Linked DNA regions of Astyanax mexicanus. The protein of the gene in region 1 interacts with the protein of each later gene in a biochemical or structural test. Links are inferred from orthologs where the notes say so. Each region holds a gene or a part of one and is shown on either strand. Other genes may lie near its edges. The genes, in order: claspin and usp20.

Region 1 (9,971 bases):
CAATCAATAACAATCAACATTTATCACTGTATAAATTAATACCCATGGTCCTCAAGGGTACTATGATATATGGTCTCAATATGTGGACTAGCATGAAGGGCTTATTACGAGGAGTGGATGGATTAAGTGGTGAGTAATGACACTGAGCACACTGTGAGCGGTCAGATCATCTGGACTACATTAGCACACAGCGTACAACACGGATGAGAACATAGGTGGACACCCCCCCCCCCCCATATGACCCTGCAAGTGCAAAAACTGAATAAGGCTAAGAGTTAACTTTAGGAAGTATATGAATCAGACACTGCATGAAGCGGTACAGCAGAATCACTTCCATAAAGTAGGAGACGGGTAAGAATGTTCTTTAAAAGCACCAATCAAAGCACACCAACTACTGAGAGTATAATCAGAGAAGTCCTCATTCACATAAGCGTGGTACCTTCGCTATGTGTCTAATCTGATGTTCAGATCACAAAAACATCAAAATTGAAATTGGACACTTCATCTCTCAAATTCAACAACTGCAATCAGAGTCAAGCTACTTGACAAAATACTAAACCTGACATTTATTTATTATTGCTGTTTGTTCATCAATGGTTGTATTTACCCAGTTAATCAAGCAATGCCATCTTTAAAGTACTTTACCATATTGTGATGAAATTAATATTATTGTGATACACAATGTGCTTCTAAATTTGTTATTGATTGGCAGTGCCAAAAACAAAGACCAACTGCATATTTGCATATATTATTACAAAGGAGTATCATTTCTGTTGACTAAGATGAGGCACAGCACCTTTAAAATAAAAATACTTGGTATTTCGTAGAATGTCATTTGGAAAGCGACTTTTATAAATCTGATTTAGATTCATGTTAACAATTGTACCATGTATTGTGACTTTTTAGAAAAGCAGCAGCTCATGCTGAAATGGTAACAGATAAACTGTTCCCTAAACTGTATCAGTGTGGTACATTGAGATGCAAAAGCAGCTCAGGCTAAATGGCTGCAACATCAATCCGTAGTGCTGAATGGCCAATCAGTAAATTTAGAATTAAAACCCATGTAGTAAATAGGGATGCACCAATCCAACTTGTTCAGTTACAATACAAATACAGATTAATAAATATTGTGCATCGATCAATATCTGATACTAATACAATACCACTGCTGAACTAATTACTTGTATACCCATGTGTGGGAGAGTTAACAACAGGGCATTTGTTAAGTTCAGGGCCAATATCTGATCCTAATACTGTATTAATGAATTAAAAATGCATTAATTGTACTTCTGTATAATTTCCAATTCTTACAGACACTAACCTCCTTTTATATTTATCTTTAATTAATCAGACAGGTATGTGTACAAAACAAAAACACTAGATCCATATCCATGTGCCTCCTCACATGTGTGTCAAATCAAAAGAAAGACAATAAATCACAACAAAGCTTGTGGACAATTCATGAAAGAACAATTTAAGACAAAATTAAATCTGTAACACACTAGTCAAGAGAAACTTGACCATTCGGGTAAACAACTAAACACAGGAGTGATTTCCATGTCTTTTTCTCTATCTACTCATTTTATAGTCTTTCAGTCTCAGTTTGTGGATATTTATTTTCTCACAAGTTCTGAAAAAAGGCCATCATGTTCACAGGCATATCTGTATGGATATTAGAGGTGTGCCATATTGTAATTTTGTAAAAATTGTAATAATAATAAAAAAAATTAATCCTAATAATATTGATAGTTATTGTCTGTAAAATTGTTATGCTGGAAGTATATATACAGGCAATACATAATAAAATCCCTGACATTACATTATTTTGATATGTTATTATTTTATATAAAAACATCAACAGTCTTTAAATTAATGCTGTTTACAAAATAAGACAAAAGTTTACAGGTTTGTTTGTTTCTGCTGGATTTTTGAAACTGTAATATTATAAACATTTATTGTGTTGCAGTAGTATATTCGAGAAATTAATCAAATATCAATTAAATGTCTGAGGTTTCTTGTTTTCATGTAGGCAAGAACATTGCTTTCTCGCAAAATAATCTAAAATATTGTGAAATTACATTGTTTTAGGGCCATATCGCCCACCCCTATTATGGAAACCATGTATGTTATTGTGAAACAAGCGTCGACATTATGTCCAGCATGGAGGGACCCTGTCCAGAGTGTGGAAGTGGCGCGGAAAGCCCTGTCAACACGGCGTCCAACACAGTATATCCCCCACTGACCATATTTAGCTAACTAGACCATGTGCTTGGAGCAGCAAGACTCAAATTAATGACTGTAGAAACGTGTAAAAATATCCTGGTCTCTTTCGTAGGGTTAAAATTTGATAAAAACCCATTTTGAGGCATAAATAACCTAAGCTACAAAACAAACGAGCACACAGCAGCGTATACAACACGACCAGGAAGAAAGAGGAGCTGCTTCGGTTAAATCCCCCTCCTCGCTCGGCAGCACAATGCCGTCCTGCTGCCTTCCGCACCGCTGTGTGTCTATGTGTTTGTGTGTGAAGCTGCTGCATTGCCGCGACGCTACACAACAAATACCTGCCCAGATGCCTCACACACACACACTTGTTGACCCTCTGACTACATTGTTAATCTTGTCTGTCTGTGATATAAACCAAACAAGCGGTTCTGGTTCAGCTGTGGCGAGCGGACGCGGCCCGACCGCCCCGTTTGTTTTCGCCTCTGCTCGGCTAGGCCTACTCGGGCAGCCGCAGACCACGGCCCCCAGTGAGGAGGCGCGCCGGCCTGCCTGCGCTGTCACTCGGCTTGACTCTTTTGCAGCTTACCGGGTCCGAGCGCTTCCATGGCCGAGGGCTCTCTCTCCGTCTCTGTCCCGGCCTGGCGGCTCCGTACCGACACTGAAATTGGGGGCGGTATCTCGAAGCTTAAGGTGACTAATTTGAGAAATGGAAGGATGCGTATAGCTCGTCAGGGGACCGAACTCGGGCTTCGCTGCGTTGTGTGATTTAAAGCGGATCCGTGGGATTTGTAAGTGCGCATGTGCTGGAGCTGGGAGGGTCCTAACGCGCATGCGCGCTTCTGGAACCTTAATGGTAAAAGCTGCGGTTCCAGGCAAGCCCCCAGCTGTAGTTTTTTTCTTTGGAAATATATTTTAAATACATTTTTAAACTTACTTACAAAATCAAACAAACTATCAACATACAAAAGTGATATTAAACACAACATATTACAGATGATACACTACTGATAATTATAGTAAATAAAAATCTGTAAAATAATCCCATAGTGGATTTATCTTCAGGCAATCCCAATTATTGACAAGATAAAGATAGGGTGACCATATTTGGTTAAATACATGTGTTAATAAATATATAATACAATTCTATATTATTCTATATGAAACAACATTATGCTAGGTCTTAACAGAGGGAACCATATCACTTATCCAAGACAATAAGATAAACGCCCTTGCTCCATAAAGCTGCAGGTTGAATAATGTACAGGTAGAAACAAATAGATATATACTTTATCCATCCAGAAGGAAATGTAGGCATACAGTAGCTTGAAACAACACAATGCAATAAATATGCTCAGGGAACACACAGGAGAGAAGATAGCTAGATATACAAAGGGTATAATGAAAACTTTGGTAGAGCAGTGCAGCAGAAGATGGCGCAATCGTCCAATTAACAATCTACACAGCAAAAGTGCAAGATGCAAATGACATGTACCCATATGTGCATACCCATTCACACGTTTAGATGAGTAAATGCCACTGTAGTTTGACTGCACCAGAGATTAGAGGAGGAACGAAATGCCTAATGGCTCGTTAATGGCTCTGAGGGAAGGACTTAGGCGGACAGACCACATATTTACACAAAAAAAAGATTTAGGTAACCAATTAAGGTAACTTAATATTGCAGCATATATAATAGCTGATTACTCTAGTTACGTATTAATTAACTGTAGCATAAAGCGAATGGTATGGTAGAGTGCAGTTCACCTTATCACGCTACACTTCTAATAATAAGTCCACAAGCAGTTAACTTAACGCGCATGCGCGCTACTGGTGAGTATTGGCGTTCCAGGAAAGCCATCGGCTGCAGTTTTAATAAGTTACAGCTTGAAAAGGGAGGATTCAAGTGGACCGACCCCACACAGTTTACACAGGAAAAAAGCTATTGTCTATAAGGTAATGTTGCAGCATATATTGTAGCTAGGAATTTACACACATCTGCTGCAAATAAACAGAGGAGGTTGGTGGAGTGAAGTGTAGTGGACACCACGCCACGCCAATAGGAGTTCTTGGGCAAGACTCCCAACAATACATTCTCTTACGACTGTAAATGTAAGTTACTCAGTATAAGAGCAGCAACCAAATGCTGTAAATGAAAATGTAAGTATAAAATCTGTGGAACACTAGTTGTGGGGCGCAATTCCTTACCTGTTCAAAGCCAGCAATGAAGATTGTAAAACTTATTTGATATTTGATGGAAAGTGCCTCAGTCTTTTTTCCATACTGACTTAATTACCGGCTTGTAAGCGTTTAATTTGACTTATGACTGGGCAGATGTCTTTGTTTGTCCTTTGCAACAAACCGAAAAACAGGGGTGAGCAATGTCTTCATCCAGTAAGAAACATCAGTGGTATGCACTTAACATGTGTTGAGTGTGGATAAGACTAGGCTAACAACTAGTTAATGTACAAACAGTTTTTGTAATGAATTGAAAATATTTGTTAAGTATTTAAATTTTTAAAAGTCTGTGTTCATTAGATTTTAAAAAAAGAAATTGTCAGTTTAGAAACCTTTAATGCGTGAATAGGCTAAGCTGTTTTAGCTTAAAAGCTGATAGCACCTTAACTTACGTTTTTACTGTAGATCAATGTTATGCATTCCCCCCAAGTAGAATTTCTAATTTCTGTTGTTTTACGATATGTTTATTGTTAAAATGAGATATACTGATCTGTAAAGTTATCTTGATTCAGTGGTATTGCTAAGATGACAAATATGTAATTTGACCAGTCACATTGCCAGGAAGACATCCTTATGTATTTTTTACCAATACAGTCTAAATTGTAACTATTGCAAGTGCTAATTTATTTATATGCAATGAAGATATTTGTAGTAAGTTTAAGATCTCCAAAATGTTTTTGGTAAGGTATCGCTAGTAAAATAACTAGTCAAATAGGACTGTCAGAATGATTTTTATAGATATGTAGTAGGGCTGAGTGATCTTGTAAAAATATTATGTCATATGTTCTTGCATAACAACTTCAGTTTTTTATTATTTGTGGACAGGCAGCTTTTTTTGCCAATACACCTCCCCCCTTACATGCAGGTTTTTTTAAACACATTGCATAAATAACCTCCTTGTATTTCAGTTACGCAAAAGTGTAAAATATGAAAATCACTGCCATGGAAAAGAGTTCTTTACACATTTCTGACAGAAGCACAAACCTGCCTACTGTGATTCCCTCTGGCAGCTTATAATGTAAATATGTACAATCTCGAATATCCCATTTTGAAAATCACATTAAAACAGTGTGTGTGTGTATATATATATATATGTATATATATATATATGTATATATATATATATATATACATATATATATATATATATACATATATATATATATGTATATATACATATATATATATATATATATATATATATATATATATATATATATATATATATATGTATATGTATATATACTTTTAGTAACATTAGTCATTATCTGTACATCTGATATTATTATTAATATTACTAGTAAAATAATTCACCTTTGGTATCTGAAATTAGCACTTTTTCTATTAGGAAATCCTATTGCAGAGGTTTTAAAGTTTAGTTTTACCAGTAAAAAGATTTATTTTTATACAGCAGCAAAACAACACAATGAGCTATTGAAAACAACGCGCGCTTCCTATTTTAAAGATCTGCCCAATCAGCGCGAATTTAGCACGCTGGGGATCCGGTTGACCAATCAGAGAGCTCGGCAGCGTTGACGGACGGGAGCAGGAGAGGCACGGCTGTGCTGCGCGCGAAAGGTTGAAATTGTATTCGGTTTGGAGGATCCGGCGGGAGAGGAGCTCCGGTTTCGCGCTTTACTGATCTATTATTTAAAGTTCTCGGGTAGATATCGCGCGAATTAGTCGCTGTCGGGTTAACTGCTGTTTTTAGCCGCTGCTGGAGACGGTTTCTGCTGTTTTGATGAGTTTTAACACCGAATAAAAGAAGCGGACAAAAGATGAGCCTGCTTTCCGCCGAACGGGTAACTATAACTATCACGCAGCCGGGGACGGGCAGATGTATATCAGAGCTATGTTAAATATGTAGGTTATTATGTAGAAATTTTGTGCTTTTTAACTTTGGAAACGCATATAGTTAGGTTGCTAACTGTTGTCACATTAATCACACGTAGGTTAGCCAGCTAGCTAGGTAACCTAGCTATTTGACTTGGCTTGGTGGGTAGCAAGTTAGCTAGGTTAGCTATTTTGTTAGCTCGCTCGCTAAAGGCTGGTTAAATCTCTTTGTTAGCTTGTTTGCTAGCTATATTTTGGATTAATTAAATTGTTTGTCAGTTTATTGTACATTAATTCACAAATGCTGCTCCTGTTTGTACTATAGCTGAAGGTCAGTTAATCTCGGTTAGCTATAACTAGGGGTTTACGTGTGTACAAGGTGCTTGTGGGCTACATGAAGGTTAACCATTCAGCTCCCAGAATGCAAAACAAATAAAGACAAGTATCTATCTTATACTATTGATTTAATGGTAAAGTAGAAAAAGTGGATGGCAATTTGTAGTTGTTCTGCAGTGTTATGTTTAAATAATAGTTCATTTCTTCACATGATTGACCTTAATAAATAGATCAGTTTATTAATCCCAGATGATACAAAATTGGTAACCAGCAGATTAGCAGATGCAATCTTTAGATAAGAAGTGTACGGTCAAAATCTATATAAGAAAAAGAAAAATACAGGAAATATTGTGTAAGCTAGCTACAAAGTAGTATAAAACAGTATATAACAGAAAGTGTCTGCATTGTAAAGATTCAGTCATGTACAACCTGAATGAATGTACATGGTAAAAACGGTGGAATGATCTTTAGTACAGTATGATTACTGTTGTTAAAAAACAATCTCCAGTACCATTAATCAGGCTTATTTACTATAAATGTGTAACTGTAAGGATTTTTCACCAACCTTATCACTATCTCTCTTGTCTTTTTGGCCAATCGACCAGACACCTTTGTGTTTATTATCTGCCAGCCTAATTTTTACATTTAAAAAGTAACATAAATATCTTTTTAACACTGACTTCAATGTTTGCTCTACAGCCCGTGGATCTCCCTGTAGAGAGCCCCAAGGCTGACAGTGACTCAGACAGTGGAGTAGGTTCACCAATGGAGGATGCTGTGACTGAAAAGAACACTGCCACTGAGGCCCAAGGAGGTAATCTAAAAGTACTAAAAGTATTTGTGTGCAAGTAATTTAAAATTTGCTTTCTGAAACAGGAAGTCTATGTTATGATGCACATTTTGTGTTCTCTAGTTTTGCCAGTATTATTTACAGGCTTTTATAAAGCTAGGACATGGCTATTTTCAGTCTGTCATTGTATTATAAAGACTTATTTTACTATTTTGTGCTCCAGATTCTGATGAAGACATTGCTGTCAACCGGAAGGCTCGTTCTCGAAAGGTCCTTGAAGACAGTGACAGTGAAAAGGAGGAGGAGGTGACAGGGATGGCAGAAGCTCTCGTTCTTTCAGAATCTGGTGAGGAGGAGACCACAGAGGGTGATCGAGTCAAAAAAAGCCGGGGGAAAAGGATATCCCGTATTTCCATGGACAGTGATGAGAGCGAGCCAGAGAAAGATGAACCTAAGGAAGAGAAGAAAAAGAGGGGGAAGTCACAGAGACGCAAGGAAAAGGAGAAAAACAGAGGTTCTCTAGTGAAGCGTTTGAAAGAGAAGTCGGGCGCTGTTGAAGTAAGTTAAATTTAATCATTTCTGAATTAAGTATCAAAATATGTAGTCCATTTTTGACCATAATTAATTCTCTATTTTCAGGCGACCTCTTCGGGCAAGGCTCTCAATGATAGCGGCTGCCTACTTGGTGATAATGATCTATTTGATGCTCAGCTGGAAGATGACACAGCTGATGGGGAGATGGAGGAAGCAGAGTCTCTAGATGCAATTAGAGATGCTGTGAAGCAGAAGGCCAGGCACAAGGTGGGAACAGGGTACTTTCCTGAAGGGTATCAGTTCTGATCTAGAACCTGCTTTTATGTTAAGTAGTAATGTTTGCAGGGAATTTGAAGAGAAGTGGGCATATAAGGAAATTTGAATTCACCAGTTAGGGTGTACGATATAGAATAAATATCACAATATTTGTACACAATATTTGTGATTGTAAACAAAATGTATGATTATCATTAGATTCTTAAAGGCTGCTACTCAAAAACTGTACTGTGTTTAGTACAGTGATTGTCCCAAATTCACTTTAAAATGACAGTTATTTGTTTAACCTACCTGCAGCTCCATTCTCATGACATGGAAGATGATGAAGTCAATGAAGAAGACTGCTCGACGCGTAAGGTATAAGGCGCTTATTTGTCTTTCTTTTTTAACTTCCCCTTCTCCACTGTTAATTTGTGAAGCTAATTGATTTGGATAATGTTCTCAGGAGAGAAAAGCAGCAAGAGCAAGTAAGGAGGCCATGAAACAGCTCCACAGTGACAGCCAGCGGCTTGTGAGAGGTTAGTAAATAGCTGATAAGTGGGTGAATCATTCCCATTTTAATCGCTTTTTAGTCACATGCATATGCTTGGACTGATGGTTTAGACAATTAAATTAGCCACTATTAAAGATATGAAACTTATTAGAATTATATAACTGTACAGAAGCATTTGATGGGCTTTTTGTTTTTCTAAACTGTAATTTAACATGTGATTTGGGTACTGAGGTTCTTTTTAAGCTCTTACTAATCTTGTGGTATCTCTTTGTTTTCAGAATCTACTATAGGGCTACCATACCACATGCCGGAGCCAAAGGGCATTGACCATTTCTTTAAGAGGAGAAATCGTCCTGAGGGCCCTGCTATGGTTTTGTTAAAGTATGTTTAGCATTACATTGACATGTGTCTACCAAAATGCATTAAGGGTCATAGCTAGTGGGTGGACGTTTTATATATGACAAAGTTTTTGATTTTCTAACATGATTTCTGTTTTCCTTTCATCAAGGTCTGCAAAATACCAGACCTGTCTCTCTGAAGCACCTGCCTCTACCACCCAGAGCCAAGTAAAACCATCTGAGCAGAACTCAAGCCCTCAGGCTGGCGCATGCCCGGACACACAAGACCCAGACGGCTGCACCCAGAAGGAGGGTACGACAAATAATGAGGAAAGTCAAGCTGCTGATGGAATTGCTGAGAACCAGTCAGGCACTAAAGCAAATGCCGAGCTCCAAAGCATGGAGGTTACAGAGGAAGAGGGTGCTCATCCTACTGTAGAGGTGCCTGAGGGGGCTGGATTAAACAAACAGGGCCATGAGAAGCCACAGGTTCCAGTTCAACAGGCTGAGCCTGAGACAGGAAATTTGGAGCAAGCTGGCTCTACCTTTGCTCAGCCAGGTTCAGTAGTACCCAAAACCAAGAAGGATAAACTGACTAGACTGCGTGAGCTGGGTTTGGAGCCTCCTCCAGTTGCAAAGCTATGTGCCGATGATGGTGCTTTCATCCAGCTGGAACCTGCGCAGGCAAACCCAGGTGAGTGAGCAATGCAATTGAAATTTTATGTATATTTGCATCACTGATGTGACATATTTCAGGATGGTAAATCTGTCCACATTAGGTTTAGTTTTAGTCAGTTACTATTGTATTAGGCTGATGGTCTAAAACCACCATTTACATGCACTCAAAGTAAAATGCTCTGTTTTCAGCTTTGGAGGCTCTTAAGGAGCGTTTTCTGCGACATATCCAGCC
Region 2 (9,475 bases), on another chromosome or scaffold:
ACCTCTTCTAGCTTGATGTGCTTCAAAAACTCTTTTTTCTGTGTGTGCAGGAATGTTCTCTGTTTGATGCATGATACACTTCCAAAATCAAGACTTGAATGAGAGTGAGGACCAACGTTTATGTTCTTGTAACAAACCTTGTAACCATTTCAGTTATATTATACTTTTTACTCTTAAAGGTTGCCAAACTTTTTCAACAAATATGTAATGTTGGATCATTTTACTATAAAATATTTAGCTTTTTTTTATTCTTTTTTCCAGATCAATTAAGTCCTTAAAATAGGAAACCATTCATTTGCACTTACTCAATTCCCAAGTCCACCTCTGGAATGCCACTAAGCATCTGATTGGACAACATCTCTTCTGTTTTTTTGGCAGAATTAACACGGATGCTCTCTGGCAGCTCATACAGGAGGTCCTCTGCATTCTTTGCCTTGATCTTCTGCTCTTCTGCCTCCACTAAACCCTTCTTTTTCTTCAGCTCTGTTTCAATGTACTTCATCCTGAATGGCAGGGAAACAAGCAATGTGTTTGACAAAGAAACAAACAATGAAGAAAGCATTAGATGTGATATAATGCATATACAGGTGTGCATACATACATATCTGCATCTTCATCTCTTCTGTTGGTCTCTGCAGAGAAGGAGGTTCCCAGGTTCAGGTCATTTTCATCCTCAATTCTGGAATGCATACATAGGATAAATTATATATATATAATCTTGTGCACACACATATGTTCACAGTAATAAAATCTACTAACCAAGACAGGCTATTTGATACTATTTTTGATACATTTTAGACTTACTTGTCTCTGTTTCTGTCTTTCACTTTCTTCATGTCCACAACACCTCCTGTCTTGAGCTTAAATGGATCATCCTAGAATAAAGAAGATTAACAACATTAGTTTCCAATAAACTTCTGTACATTTAATCAATTCCGCATTCAGTATAAAATTTATTTATGTATACTAGCTATGTAATAGAACATGAATAAATACTATAAAAATCAAGCAGCATTACACATTGTATTGTAACCACTAGCATGTTAGCTAAAACATGTGGCTAAAAGATAAGGTCTCTGGGAGAACATTTACATTACAATACACAATTACAGGATTTTGTTCAAAAATTGTACTCCTACAATGTTAAAAGATTCTAATAAATATTTAAAATGTTTCTAATAAAAATAACTTGATATAAACAGATCTGCCATAACAATAACTAACAACTCCACACAACCTTAGATGCTCTGAGGTGGAACCTCCATCAATCACATCAATGAACCTTACGTGTCTATGACCCTGTTGCCAGCTCTCTGGATGTCTGCAATGTAATGGCCACTGCATACTATAAAATCTGAGGTTTTTGAGATGTTTAAACCCAGTCATCTAGCCAGCACAACTACCATAGTGAACCCTAAAGATCTTAGTGAAAGTGGCTCAGATCCTTAGCCTTCTCATTTCCTTCTGGTTTTAACACATTAACTGTGAGAACTAACTGTTCTTACCCATCAAAGATGCTACTGTGGATGACAATCGATATTGATGAACTGAGATGTTCTGCTGCAGTTCTTTAAGGCACTTTAAGGCACTTTCAGGCATTTGAGAGGCTTGGGCTTTGATTTGAGTCTTTATTTCAACACAACAGGTGTTGGGATACTCTATTTGTTTCAAACACTGCCACATTCGCAACTAAAGTCTAAAGTCTGTAAATCCATAATTTACACATGTAAAAATGCACATGCAAGCTTACCTCAACCTCTGCTTCCAGCGGTAACTTTTCTCCCACAAGCAATGCTGTCAAACTGTGGAGAAGGATATAAAACATGGTCTAGAAAGCTAGGTTCCCACTGTAGTCATAATATCAAACAATAACGACAATCACAAACAATTAATAGTAGATAAAGGTTATCTTAAACACTTGCATACCTCACGCCACTCTGTCTCTTCCGCAAACTCTGAAGTTCTTTTGCTTCATCCAGTTTCGCCCTGCGGATTTAGTCGTAAGCACAAGATTAGCTCAGACTGCAGACTCTTCAGATATAGAGTAGCAGATTTTAAAGGAAGCTTTAAACCCAACAGCGTGACTCTGACTGTCAGCATTCTTTCCTAAGGGTACTCTCTCAGGTGAGCCTAAATCTAGGGTGCTTGCTGACACTGCTGAACAACATAATCCATTAAATGTACACCACTTCTCCTGTCCCATTTTACTCAGTGAAGATGAGTAGCTAAAGCTACATCCGGTACTCTGCCAGAAGACATTTTAGCCTGAAATGCAATCTTAACCATGCGCCGTAACAAGTTCAAGGTATGTACATGCAGTAGAATTTCGAATTTGAGATATGATTTATAACATGTTTAACAGTAATAGTATCAGACTTACATATTAATAACCATATAATCTATCTAGGGTTTTAGTAACTAAAAACATTGTTACTGCTTTATAAAACTAGAATTTTTGTAATATTATAGATTTTTAGAAAGGAAAATGTGCCATTTCTTAACTTCATCCATTACTTAAAAAAACACTTATTATATTTTATTGTCCTGGGTCATTGTCCTGTTGCAAGACCCATGACCTGCGACTAAGACCAAGCTTTCTGACACTGGGCAGCATATTTCTCTCTATAATCTTTTGATAGTCTTTAAATTTTATTGTACCCCGCACAGAATCAAGACACCTTGTGCCAGATGCAGCAAAGAAGCCCCAGAACATAACAGAGCCTCCACCATGTTTCACAGTAGGGACAGTCTTTTCTTGATATGCTTCATTTGTCCATTTTAAACAAAGAGCTAATGTGCCTTGGCAAATTTTTTTTTTTCTGTCCATAGTATATCCCACGTCCAAAACATTTAACATGCTTCTGTATATGTATATATATATATTTTTATTTCCTGAGAGAAACTCTTTCCTTCGCTTTCTCTGGTCCATGTTGTGTGGTACACACCATGTCACCAAACAGCACAGTGACCTGTAGCCCTATATTTGGCCCACTACATTGTAAGTTTAATATTAAAGATATTTAAGTTACACATAAACATAGGCTGAATTATTTTGTAAAAAGAAGTTAATTTTATAAACAAACACAATATGTTTTATACTTTAGATTCTTCTAAGTACCACATTTAGCTTTTAGATTTACTAGATAGCAGGAAGCTAGTTTAACTTAGACATCTTAAATACTCTTAAATTACAAAATATATTTTAGCTATATAATGCCGATCTGTACTTAATATTCCCAAAGAGTCAGCAAAACGCAGCTCTATCTACAGTTAAGAATTGTTGTTAGCTTTTTATGCTAGGTTAGCTACCCTAGCTTAAGTTAGTTAACTCGCTAGTTCTCGAGCTAACGTTAACCAAACGTTTGTTTACAGTGTAGATCCAGCCGATAGCCCACCTGACTTCAGATGTGACCTCGTTGGATTCCTCTTCATCTGAAGACTCTTCTTTTCTTCTTCGGAAGCTTCTCCCCGCTGGCATGATCACCTTTATACTAATTATCTCACAGCTAACTGTGTAACTAAAGCCGCTACTGCTGCTGGTGTTACTAACTGTACTAACCCTCCGCCCGCTTCACTCCGCAAACCTGCCCCGCGAAAACTCGTTCCCACTCAGATTTGTGTTCCTACCTAAACAACAGCAGCAGCATGAAAATTCAAACTTTGCATATATTACTTTTACCTTTTTGTTATCATATTTGATACAGCTTGATTACTTACTAGCAAATCTAGAACATATATTTGTTTAACCATGAAATGTCTTTAAACTTCACTTTAGTAATTCTAAAGGTATATATTGTTATTACTTATATATTGTCTAAGAATTATTTAGGATTGATTTATTTATTATTATACTATCCTGTAAATGTTGTTTTGTTTAAGTCATTTGTTTGGTTGAATTTCATTATATTTAGTTTTATGACATTAGTTTTGGAGTTCATGTCTAGTTTGGATGTTCTTGGACATTTGGACAGAAACATTAAATGTAAATAACTGTTAATCGTAAATATGTAAATGTAATTGACTGTATTTTAATGTAGTTTGTATTTAGATACACACATACATACATACATACGTATATTAATTTATTTATTTACAAATATATATATATATATTTATTTAATGTAATTTGTACAAAATATGGAAATATCCCTGATTGCATTGTAATGTAATTAGAATGTACACTATTTAATCAAATATATATATAGTTAACTATCATAGCTAAATAACAGTGTGCAGTATATATATTATATTATATTGCATTATTTTGTAATTTGTATTTACATTATTTAATTAAATATATAAATATATACATTCATTAATTATAAAAAAAATTGTTGTTTGTAATATTTTGTAGTTATTTTTATTGGGATGTCGTTAACATTATATGTGCATAACTGCTAATCGTGTACACATAATATGTTATTGATTGTATTGTAGTGTAATTTGTATTTACATTAATTAATTAAGTAATTAAATAAATCAGTAAATACATTTATAAATTAAAAATAATGTTGTAGTTCTTTTATTTATTTTTTATTTGTATTCATTAGTCACGAAATAAAATAATAAAATAAGTAAAGGAAAATAAATAATGAATAGTGTGGGATTGTTGTTGTGGGGGGGAGGCGGAGCTGCCTGGCTCTGCTCTGTGCTCTCTGTGCTAGTCTCTGTTAGCCTGCTGGCTAGCGCAGTGAGATCCTCAGGAGATCGGGAGATTTTCATTTAGACGGAAAATGAACACATTTCAGCCTTTATCCTGGACGCGCTGAGGAGGTAAAGGCTGTATTTAACGCTCCACCTGGATTAATATGGATGTCATTGTGTGTTTTAATGCGTTTTCATGTTTATTTAGCTAGGCTAGCTGAGTCTCTGTGTAATAGGTAACGGTGAGAGAGAGAGGGGTAACGTTAGTTAAATGGCCTCGGCTATGTTCAGACTGAGCTGAGAAAGGTTTATGAGGTTTTATGTGAATATTGTTGATGTATAATTGATCTAAAACACTGTAATTATCCATATTTAACATTATGGTTGAAGCAGTGATGTTGGTTGAGTCAGAATTAGCTAACTTACGTTATATTCCCAGTGGCTGTGCTGTAGGTACTTTGTATAGATATATAGCTATATTGGCTTTATCTTTATTTTTGTGACCATGTAGTCTGAATGTGGCGTATTCAATCAAATTCACAGCGCAGTTCAGCCCTGAGAACCGGGCTGTTTTGTAAAGGTGAAGAACAGCTGCTTGTGTTGAGCTCATGGCTGCTTGGAGGACGTAGTTATCCGTGCCAGGCGAATGAAGCAGCAGTTTGTGTTTTTGTGTGGATTTTTTTTATGTGTGTGTGTGTGTGTACGTGTGTACCTTGTGTTTTATCTTATTTATAAAATTCTAAACACACACACACACACGATTTGCTTTAGTACTTTAGTTACTAGTCTTGTTTTTTGCATTGGCTAAACAATAAGCATCCCCCACACAACACAGAGCTTATAACCATATTCAAAATAAACACTCACAAAATATATATTTTGTGATTACATCTTTTACCCACAACAACATCTTATGCAAAAATTGTATTTCAATTAGGGCTCAGCAAATTGGACCAAAAATAATACCTCAATATTTTTTCAGTGAATGACGATATACAATATATATCTTGATTTTATTGAATCCCATAAGGTAATAACACAAAGACACTTCTGAGACAAAGCTACATTACTCACCATTAGTAAATTTAGCATTCCATTTGGAAATCAAGGGACCAGAGTCCAAAGGAAGAGTGGAGAAGCACTCTGGTAGTTACAGTCATATGAAAAAGTTTGGGCACCCCTATTAATCTTAATCATTTTTAGTTCTAAATATTTGGGTGTTTGCAAAAGCCATTTCAGTTTGATATATCTAATAACTGATGGACACCGTTCTGATGGACACAGTTCTTACCAAGAACTGTCCCTATGGTCTTCCATTTCCTTACTATGTTCCTCACAGTGGAAACTGACAGGTTAAATCTCTGAGACAACTTTTTGTATACTTCCCCTGAACAACTATGTTGAACAATCTTTGTTTTTAGATCATTTGAGAGCTGTTTTGATGAGCCCATGATGCCAATCTTCAGAGGAGATTCAAATAGGAGAACAACTTGCAATTGGCCACCTTAAATACCTTTTCTCATGATTGGATTCACCTGGCTATGAAGTTAAAAGCTCAATGAGGTTACCAAACCAATATTGTACTTCAGTAAGTCAGTAAAAAGTAGTTAGGAGTATTCAAATCAATAAAATGATAAGGGTGCCCATACTTTTGCACCGGTCAAATTTTGGTTTAATGCATATTGCACATTTTCTGTTAGTACAATAAACCTAATTTCAATCCTATATTATTATATAATATAATATTACTGTGTCCATCAGTTCTTATATATATCAAACTGAAATGGCTGTTGCAAACTTTAGAACTAAAAATGATTAAGATTAATAGGGGTGCCCAAATCATCAACAACTGAAAGGCAAGTTATATTACACAGATTCATTGTAAACAACAGCCTTTTCAAATAACAGTTTTCTTCCACAGTTAAAGTATCCCAAAAAGAAGAGACACAAAAAGTTCAGTGTGCTCTTTGAAAAAAGTAAATCTAAAGTTAAAAAAGAGGCTCTCCAGTAAGAAGTACAAAAAAGGGCATGGCAAAATAATTGCGACTAATCAACTAATCGAAAAAATAATCGTCAGATTAGTCGACTAGTAAAATAGTCATTAGTTTCAGCCCTACTGCACAGCAATGCACAAAGCAATGTCAAGACATGGATGATTGAGTTTGGTGTGGAAGAACTTGACTGGCCTATAGAGTCCTGATCTCAAACCGATAAAATATCTTTCGAATGAAGTGTGGAGACTGCGAGTCAGGCCTTCTCATCCAACATCAGTGTCTGACCTTCCAAATGCTCTTCTGGAAGAATGATCAAAAAATCCCGTAAACACACTCCTAAACCTTGTGAAAAGCCTTCCTAAAAGATCTAAAGCTGTTATAGCTGCACAGTGTGGGCCAACATCATATTAAACCCTCTGGATTAACAAAGGGATGTCACTAAAATTCATATACATGCGAAGGCAGGCAAGTACCGGTAAATACTTTTGTCATTATAGTGTATATACCATAAAACCACTACAGTATGAATGTTTCACTTATTAAGCTGCAAAAATGTATTTCATTTTGCCTTACATGACATTGCACATACTGTGATATGACTACTGTGCATACCCGCATGGTGATGATGATGTTGAAATGTTATGTTGGTGTAGCGGTGTGCATGTCCAGCCTAGGAATCAAACCCCACATTTCAGTCACAGGGAGGGTGGTGATGTTATGCCACACCACCATAAGGTCTCTATAGTCCTATATTTAAAAAATTGGAAACTTGTTGGTTGAAGTTGTTAGGTTGTGTTATGTTTTGATTTAGTAAGTTTTAATAAGCTAAATACTGTACAGCAAACTTATTTATTTATTGTACTTGAAAATTGGGCAAGAAAATAAATGTATAGCATACTGTCACATACATGATACAAATAGAAACGAGATGCTTTAATGACTTTCTGATCACAATAATGAGATAATAATAAGATCTAATGTGCAAGAATAATCTGATAAAAAAAATAAGATAATAAGAAAACACAAAGTGTGCTCTCTCTAATGGGATTTGTTGTTGTCAGTAGGAAATCCATTCATAGCTTGACCAGGGTTGAATAGAACGATATTACAGTTGAGTACAGTGATTGGACTAAACTGGACTGAAGCCATCTTATTGTCTTACTCTATCTGTAACCCTTAGTGTTAAATGAGGCCAGCTGTCGTTTCTGCAGAATGCAGTATTGTAATCACAGTTAAACACACACACACACAGTCACTCAGTGCTGCTCTTTTAGCTCTGTTCTTTTCTCTCTTTCAGGCTGAGTCACTCTAGGACCAAAAGATGACAGACAGTAGAGATGTTTGTCCTCACCTGGACTCTATAGGTGAAGTGACCAAGGAGGAACTTCTGCATAAATCAAAGGTAAGGCTGTACTCAACAGCCCAACTTCACTCTGCAATTTTTATATTTAAAAAAATAGAAGAGTGATTCATATACTGCAGTTTACTGCTCAATCTGTGACTTATTTTATTAAATAAAATACAGTACAACATGTACCCTTGTTTTAATGTTTATTTTTTTCCATTTAGGCTACCTGTCAGTCATGTGGAGTGGGTGGCCCCAACCTCTGGGCATGCCTGCAGGTTAGGAAAGTTTTTTTCTAGGCTTAACCCATGTCCAAGAAACGTGTCTAGTCTTTGGTTCAGGCTCTTATTGGCATATCTAAGTGATACATTTTTTAATAATACTATTTGAACCTAGACTGCACTGGATTATGTTGTTTAAGATGGTAAAATCATTTAATTCCTTTAAAAAACAAAACAAATTCACACCAACTGCCCATGTGTCATCTGTTTTAGAATTAAATCACACGCAGATGGTAACCAACAGATCAGGGATAACATTACAGATTTGATGCATTTTTTATATCTTGTATGAAGTATTTATAATATATTGCCCAGCCCTAATACCACACTACCGCTACTTTACATAACAAAAAAGACAATTTGAGTAAAGGGTGCTGAACTGGATTTATTGAGAATCTTTTATATTTTTAACTTATCATAGCAATAGTATACAGTAGAAATAAAAGGCCACCAGTGGACCCCAGTTAAAAAGGGTGCATTTACTTATGTACATGTGTAACAACTGTGCTACAACTTAGATAAGATTTTTTATATTGTTGTTTCCTTATTGTCAGATCATTTTGAACAAGAAATCTCATGAGTTATTGATTATATTTACTCTGAATAGAGTAATAACACATTTTCCTATTTCTTTAGTGTGACTGTCCGTATGTGGGCTGTGGCGAGTCATATTCAGACCACAGCACCACTCATGCCCAGGTAACTATGAATTTCTTTACTTTTATAATGGTCAAAAATAATGGAAATGTTAAATACATACATATTTTATGTTGTGTTTATTTATTTAATTTATTTTTTATTATTTGACATCAGGATAATCAGAGATAAAGCTCTAGTATTGTATTTAATCACTTATTGGCCTCCCTGTCCCTCTTCATCTAGGCAAAGAAGCACAATCTGACTGTGAATCTGACCACGTTCAGGGTGTGGTGTTACGTGTGTGAGAGAGAAGTGTTTCTGGAGCAACAGCCTGTAGTGCCGGTGGCTGGAACTCATCGCTACAAACCTCTTGACCAGGTGCAAACTTACCACCCTTCCTACCCTGACATCAGTGGTGTAGTTGTGCATGTATTGTATAGGTATACTGTGCCATCTATGGTATTCTTATCCCAACATTTCCTTGCTTTCTTTAAGCATGTATTTGTTCACATTTTTGTCTTGGTTGGCAAAAATCTTAGCCACTTTTTCTTTATTCTTATGTTTTTTAACTT

The links.
Region 2: of the proteins of claspin (region 1) and usp20, one has a biochemical effect on the other in vitro, tested with the Homo sapiens proteins (2 studies listed by BioGRID, with this or other methods). The link is inferred for Astyanax mexicanus from reciprocal best matches to the Homo sapiens genes CLSPN and USP20.

Annotation. Positions count from the first base shown.
Region 1 is NC_064410.1:53,518,467-53,528,437, reverse strand, and holds the start of claspin, read left to right. Parts: upstream 1-6,041; 5' UTR 6,042-6,239; coding exon 6,240-6,263; intron 6,264-6,301; exon of another isoform or gene 6,302-6,324; intron 6,325-7,329; coding exon 7,330-7,444; intron 7,445-7,643; coding exon 7,644-7,978; intron 7,979-8,059; coding exon 8,060-8,221; intron 8,222-8,527; coding exon 8,528-8,587; intron 8,588-8,675; coding exon 8,676-8,748; intron 8,749-9,001; coding exon 9,002-9,104; intron 9,105-9,231; coding exon 9,232-9,755; intron 9,756-9,928; coding exon 9,929-9,971. Other genes in the region: ago4 (protein argonaute-4), read right to left, coding at 2,813-2,831.
Region 2 is NC_064408.1:16,873,454-16,882,928, reverse strand, and holds the start of usp20 (ubiquitin carboxyl-terminal hydrolase 20), read left to right. Parts: upstream 1-4,630; 5' UTR 4,631-4,773; intron 4,774-7,935; 5' UTR 7,936-7,959; coding exon 7,960-8,040; intron 8,041-8,207; coding exon 8,208-8,261; intron 8,262-8,900; coding exon 8,901-8,963; intron 8,964-9,146; coding exon 9,147-9,281; intron 9,282-9,475. Other genes in the region: c1h9orf78 (telomere length and silencing protein 1 homolog), read right to left, coding at 306-503, 602-679, 805-875, 1,751-1,802, 1,927-1,986, 3,396-3,478.